2 linked regions of the Tribolium castaneum genome follow. The protein of the gene in region 2 interacts with the protein of the main gene of each other region in a biochemical or structural test. Links are inferred from orthologs where the notes say so. Each region holds a gene or a part of one and is shown on either strand. Other genes may lie near its edges.

Region 1 (4,503 bases), about 2.2 Mb from region 2:
AACGTTAGAAATGCACAAAATTTGATCAAACGCTTCATTACTTCGGCCATTTTGGGATTCCATCCACCATGTCCCTGTTGTAAAGTCTTCAACTGTTCTTCGGAAACGACGACTTTAACTTTATCACCGACACTGAATGGAGGAGGGCCTGATCTGACTGGACGAGCCACCGCTTGCTCTATGTTGTGCCCTGGACGATTTTTAAATATTTATATTTGCACAACAATTTTGAAAAAGTGGATCGACAAACTTAGGAAATCCAAAACAATTTTCATTGCATAATAAATCAATGCAACACATCAGCAAACAAAAATTGTTAAATTATGTTATAAACCACCATAAAAACTAGGCCACTTTTTTATAAGTATCAAACCGTAATCTTAATACATTAAAATATGACTTCATATTTTATATAATTATTTAAATCGGTATTTGCAATAACTTTTGATGTTTATCAGTCACTGACGAAATTACTGAAATGTTACGTTGTTACGGGCTGTAGCCACAGAGGTCACCGTAACTTAAAATGTAGTAAATTAGCAGTAAAAGAGATTAAATAGAACCCCATGTATTTCAAAAAATTAAAGGAAAATGCAAAAATGGTGTTTGTATTAATTAGTAATGCGCTCTGAATTTACGTTATTTATGAAAAAATGGTTATTGAAAGTATTAAAGAGCTTTTTTTTTCGTTCTTGCTTTATTGTATAACGATTTTTTGTACACTTTTTTGTGCTTAGGTGTCATATTAAATGTTTTTATGATAATTTTACAAAAATACGAATACAATTGCCACTTATAAAATAAGTCAAAAACAAGAAGATTATGCTTAATTATTGTCAATATTTTTTATTGTATTGCATTTATTTATTTTTTTCTTACTAATCTAGTTAGTCTAGTAGTCAAACATTGCCTTAAATAAAGTAACCATAAAGATGGTTATAATTCCCTTGTGGAATTAATTCCTTAATTTCTTTCAATATTTTTTTTTTCAATCATTTAACTTATTATTTTTTGCAGAAATTTATTTCAGTAAAAAATAAAATTGTTTATCTATCACTGGAATTTTTGGGTGTTAATATCCTAGGGCAATGTATTGTCCGTTAGAGCCCTCGGACCTAATGGCCCTCTGGACAGTAAATCCGTAGTCCACGGTCACAAAAATCCTTATAATTCCCTTGTTATTAAATAACTATTAATTTTTAATTATTTTTTTATTATCCGAAAGATAAGGATGTGTATTATCTAAAACATTGAATAGTTATCACTAAAAAATTAAAAATGACGTCACAACTCAAAAACAATTGATATCATGTCACTAAAACGTCGAAATGTAGCATTTAAAAAATAAAACAACCTGAATTTACCTGAATTTTGTGCGTTACTGTTAGATGTTATTAAAGCTTTTTTTAGTCAGAAACTTATTTTAAAAGATTTCGTCCAAACCAACAGAAAAGTTTTTAAAAAGGAATAAGAGGAACACATAACGTAACGAAAAGAAAGAAATATAAAAATATCAAAATAAAATAACAAATAAGCCACATGCCTCACTTATATATTTGTAAAAAATAGACCGCAGAAAAGATTGCAATGAATTAAAATGCAATTAATTAATTTGATTACCAACATTCCAGTTTTATTGTCCGTTTAAAATACAAATAAAAATTTCTACAAAGTTATCTAAACCAATTAATATTCAATTGTTAAGCTGAGCAAGAACAAAACGAATTTTTAGTGCACGCAACAACTAGAAACTTTTCCAATGATGTCAACGAATTTCATAAATTATTTGACAAAAAATTCGTGAAGGTTTTGACGCCAAACCTTGTTGAATAATGCTAACCCAAAATTCAAATTTGTTGAAATAATTAACATAGTTTAAAAGCAATATTAGTTAGTAAAACGTATGTATATTTTTTTCAAAAATTACACACGGTTGGTTTCAAATTTTTTCGTTTCAAACAAACTAACTCACCTAAAATTGGAAGATGTTCGGGATAATAAAACCCTCCACTAGCCGGCTCAACAAACTTAATATCACAATCGCCCTTATGCCCCAGCCGATAGACATTCGTCGAGCCCGACAACCAGGTAACATTAGCCACAGAGCGACTACTTTCCTTATCCCACCCTCTAATATCCAAAACTCGTCCGACTTTCCCATCACCCCCATCCTGATTCCCCCACTCCCAGTTGTACCCCCTTACCACCTTGGCCCCCACAAAAATGCCCTTCAGCTCGCATTTTCGCCCATTCTGTCGGGGTGGCAAATCGACTCTAACAAACCACTTTTACTACCGAAAAACACAATAACTAACGAATTGACTCACCCCAAGGCAGTGGCCGAGTCAAACCGCTTAAAAGTGTGATCAAGATCATGCTTATCGCCGTGGTAACACATATAACACAGATCATAATCAAAGCAAACGCAACACTTGTATTTCATGCCGCAAATGCCCTGGCTTTTGCAACCATCGCAAACAATGTTAGGATGCTTGACGCCTAGAAATGGAATAATTAGCAGAATTTCTAATAAGTTCCAAGGCTGCTCCTCCTGTTATTGCTACACATCGATGGTGTCCGATAACAAAATTATCGCTGTTTTATTAATTTATCGCGATTTACCTATTTGCGCGTTGTCAATGACAAGGAGGTCAAATTTGCCCAAATAGCCAACTCGGTAGTTCGTCCGCGTCCCGTTGTCCCACTGGACCACTGCGGTCTTATCAGGGGACCCCACACTCCCAGACTTGCCGATCTCGCACACGGTGCCCACGAAACCCTCACCCCCATCTGAAAAATTCAATTAACCCTAGTCTAACTTTGGGCCACTGAACCTTGGTTGCCCCAAGACCAGTCGGGGCCACGGACGATCCGAACACCAGGCGTCAACATCTCGCATCTGAATTAATTTATTCCATGGAAAGCTTAGGGGTGTATTAACCCCTGAGTCACTGGCACTGCTCCACCACACACAACTTGGCGATTGCGAAATGCGCACCGATTTTTTAATTATTGGGTCATTTTAAATCGCCTCGCTTTTTGCAATTTCACGTTAGCGTTCAACTGGCAAGTGGAAAGTTGTTTATTATTGTTGAATTTTGACAGGTACGATTGTTCATTTCTCGTAGGTTGGTTGTGTTACTCATGGGTGCCAACCAGACCACACGGAACAGTGCCAAATTTGAATGGAACGAAAAAAATTTATTTCAAAGAAACTTAACAATCAAAAATCTACTTTAGTCTTAAAGTTATCATCAGTTACGCCAGTTTCTAAGTTAAAATCCTGGTTCAGGTCGTGACTGATGAGCAAAGATGGATTATCCAACATTTCTGTTTCAATAATATTCGAGAGCTCATTGTCCAAGTCAATAAGAGTGTCTCTGGACAACGTCTCGCCGCCTTGGCCCTCACTGGGGGGCGCACACAACTGCTTCTCTTGATAAATCCAGCGTTTATCAATCCAGTTGTTAGTAGAAGCATTTTTATTGAACACTTCGATTTGTGGCACGCTCTGGCATACGTGAAAGAACTTGGGCCCATTGTTCACCTCGTTTTTGTTCTTCGATAAGTCGAAGAACGGCATCAAGACTTGCACGATGTTCTTCAAAATCGTGTTCTGATTGTTCTGTTTCGCGTGCAAACTGCTCAGTTCGTTGAGCAGTGTTACGTTTTCCTGCTGGAGCACATTTATCTGTGCGCATATTTCGTCTTGTTGTTTCCTTATGGCTGTTATTTCCGAAGACAAATTTACCAATTCGCAACTGCCTCGGCTACATGTCTTATTTAGCGGTGTTTTCCGTTTGATGTTCTTCAAGAGGTCTGGCTTGTCTCTCTGGAAATATTGGTGCTTGTACTCCATTTCGTTGCTTCTCTCCACGCATATTTTGTGGAAATCGTACATGTTTAACTGTCGAATGAAACTCCCCATGTTGTTGTGCTTGAAGTAGAGAGGCAGGAGCTTCGTGATGAGGAGGGCTTGGTTTTTGATTATGAAACTATCTCCAGAATCGCTCCACACTATTACGTTTGCTGCTTCTTGGTGACTTATCATCTTCCAGAGCTTGAGCACAAAAGGCGACACAGTGTTCGCAGTTTCCTCCATCTCGTCTAATTTTGCTAATGTTTTCTGTCATAATTAATGACTCTTTGCCGGCATAGATATCTCTGCTGTTTTCTGCTGATACCATAGTTTTTTATGAAAACAAAAACAATGGCATTGTAAAACAGCTGGTCTAGTTTTTGCAGAATTATTATTATTATTTCAAATACACTGTAAGTACTTACTTATTCGTTTGTTTCACTTTATTTCAATTATCAGAAGTAAAAAAGAGCAAAAAATTCGAGAGCAGGTCACTTGAATAGTTCACTGTTTAATTCATCTTTGCACTTGAGCAAATTTAAAATCAAACAAAAAAATATATTCTATTTACAAAAACACTTTTATTCTATTAGAACATATATTACAAGTAACATGACTATGCAACAGGTCTTAGACCTTCCCCT
Region 2 (2,455 bases):
TTGCATGCCCACTGAGGAAGACGTGGAGGCCGTCTGTGGCAAATTCCGGGGCATTCAAGGGCACCACAATTCCTGCTACCTCGACGTCACCCTTTTCTCAATGTTTACCTACACAGCAGTATTTGACAGTTTGTTGTTTCGGCCCAAAGGTCCGAAAGATATCCCCGATTATAACGAGGTTGATTTTTCGTATTTTTCGAAAACAAATTAAATTGTGTTTTAGGTCCAACGAGTATTACGTGAAGAAATCGTAAATCCGCTCCGAAAAAATTTGTTTGTTCGTGCCGATCGCGTGATGAATTTGAGACGTTTATTAGATCGATTAAGTTCGGTGTCCGGTTTAACGAGCGAAGAGAAGGATCCTGAGGAGTTTCTCAATTCGCTTTTGGCGCAGATACTTAAAGCCGAGCCGTTTTTGAAGCTTAACTCGGGTCAGGAGTCGTTTTATTATCAGTTGTTTGTGGAGAAAGACGCCGATTTAACGTTACCCACAGTACAACAATTATTCGAACAAAGCTTTCTCACGAGTAACATTAAATTGAAAGAAGTTCCCTCTTGTCTCATCATACAGATGCCGAGGTTCGGGAAGAACTACAAAATGTATCCGAGAATTCTACCGTCACAGCTTCTAGACGTGACTGACGTTATTGAAGGATGTAAGCGGAAAAACTCTCGTCACTCGTGAAATAATAATTGTTTTTTAGCTCCTCGTCAGTGTATCGTTTGTGGCAAACTCGCCCATTGGGAGTGTCGTGAGTGCTTTGATGATTGTAGCAACGCCGGGCTGGAAAGTACGGCTTTCTGCTCTATGTGTCTCGAAAAAGCCCACAGACACGAACGGAGGTCACACCACCGCCCCGCTGTGAAACTAGATGTCTGTGATGATTTCTCGATCCTTGAAGATCACTGTCGTCCTCCTCGACTTTTCATGGAACTATTTGCTGTGATTTGTATTGAAACTTCCCATTATGTAGCTTTCGTCAAGTGCGGAGTTGGCCACGAGGCGCCGTGGTGTTTTTTCGATTCGATGGCGGATCGTAAAGGTGTGACACCATCTCGCGGCCAAGATATAAAAATTCACGAGTATTTTTCAGGCGAGAAAAATGGGTACAATATCCCGGAGATGGTCGCATGTCCGGATATTTCACGATGGTTGTCGGACGAACGGATCTGCCGCCAGTTACACGAGGACTTCCCCCAAGACCGTCACCTACCCGAACACGCGCGCAGGTTGTTATGTGATGCTTATATTTGCATGTACCAAAGTTCTGACGTCATGATGTACAGATAGATTTTTTCTTTACGACTGATATTTTTAGAATATTTATTTCTGTTTAATGTTGTATAAAGTATAGAAATTTTGATTTAATTTGTTACGAAAACACTTAACCTGATTTAAGAATTAAAATATAATGCTTGTTATATTCAGTATTGTTGTTAACTATATCACTTTGTTATTCTTCCCGGAACTGTAGGAACTATCATGACAATGTGCCTTGCCTGCTGATCTAACAATCTTCTATTTCAAGTATACGTTTGAATCGTATGTCGGCTTCATTTTTCACAAATACAAAGTGATATGGGCATTTATTAAATTTTAAAAGCGATCCCGTTGGATCGGTACGATTTTTCCCTGTCTATAAATTAACTAGAAATCGTACTGGCTCAAATAACCCCACCACATAAATAGTTCACACTTATTAATTTAAAACTATAAAATAGACTTATCGAGTATTTTTTGTAGAAAATTTATTTTTATTGTTAAAGAACGGAAAGAGGGACGAAATAAATTCTAGCAATCAAACAACCACGCATTTTCTTTACCCTTCACTGCCAATCCCAAATATTTAACCCAACCAAAACGAATTAATTTTTTATTAATAAATCAAGATTACATAATTCACAACAACCAGGGAATGTGTCACCTCTCTATGTAAAATACACAATTACAAAAACAATCACTAAAAGCGTAATCACGATTCCCAGTATCAGTATATATTTGTCTTCACCGGCCCTTTTCTCGATTAGTCTCATTGTGTGGTTACTCAGCCCCAGCGTATTAGCCATGTCCATAATGCGACGATGTGCCCCCTTCAAAGTCAGTCTTTGCGACCTAAGCGACTCTAACGCATTAACCCCCGTGTGTAGCATTTCGTCTACACCTCTATGAGAATTCTGTAATGAATTCTGGTGCTGTAACGCATAGTCTATATTGATGGTCGTCAGATCGGGATTAGGGGCAAACCGGCGATTCAACAATTGTTCCCTTTCATTAATCGCAGCCTCTCGTCGTGCCCTTTTCTGTCTAGAGGCCACTAGGGCCGCCTGAAGGTGCCTTGCATCATACTTCAACTGATCGCAGCGCATTTTCGCGTTAGGTCTTTGGTCGATCGGGACTTTATATAAATAAACATCGAGTTTTTCACAATTACTGCAATAATTTATTAATTGGGTG

What was found.
Region 1: of the proteins of CYLD (region 2) and mib2, one has a biochemical effect on the other in vitro, tested with the Homo sapiens proteins (2 studies listed by BioGRID, with this or other methods). The link is inferred for Tribolium castaneum from reciprocal best matches to the Homo sapiens genes CYLD and MIB2.

What each region holds. Positions count from the first base shown.
Region 1 is NC_087398.1:7,200,953-7,205,455, reverse strand, and holds the start of mib2 (E3 ubiquitin-protein ligase MIB2), read right to left. Parts: upstream 3,113-4,503; 5' UTR 2,893-3,112; coding exon 2,835-2,892; intron 2,791-2,834; coding exon 2,623-2,790; intron 2,500-2,622; coding exon 2,328-2,499; intron 2,275-2,327; coding exon 1,973-2,274; intron 191-1,972; coding exon 42-190; intron 1-41. Other genes in the region: heat shock factor protein, read right to left, coding at 3,224-4,102; DNA repair protein XRCC3, read right to left, coding at 4,476-4,503. UniProt on the Homo sapiens protein: E3 ubiquitin-protein ligase that mediates ubiquitination of Delta receptors, which act as ligands of Notch proteins.
Region 2 is NC_087398.1:4,982,713-4,985,167, reverse strand, and holds the end of CYLD (ubiquitin carboxyl-terminal hydrolase CYLD), read left to right. Parts: coding exon 1-178; intron 179-223; coding exon 224-656; intron 657-704; coding exon 705-1,043; intron 1,044-1,094; coding exon 1,095-1,291; 3' UTR 1,292-1,807; downstream 1,808-2,455. Other genes in the region: Membrin (probable Golgi SNAP receptor complex member 2), read right to left, coding at 1,930-2,431. UniProt on the Homo sapiens protein: Deubiquitinase that specifically cleaves 'Lys-63'- and linear 'Met-1'-linked polyubiquitin chains and is involved in NF-kappa-B activation and TNF-alpha-induced necroptosis.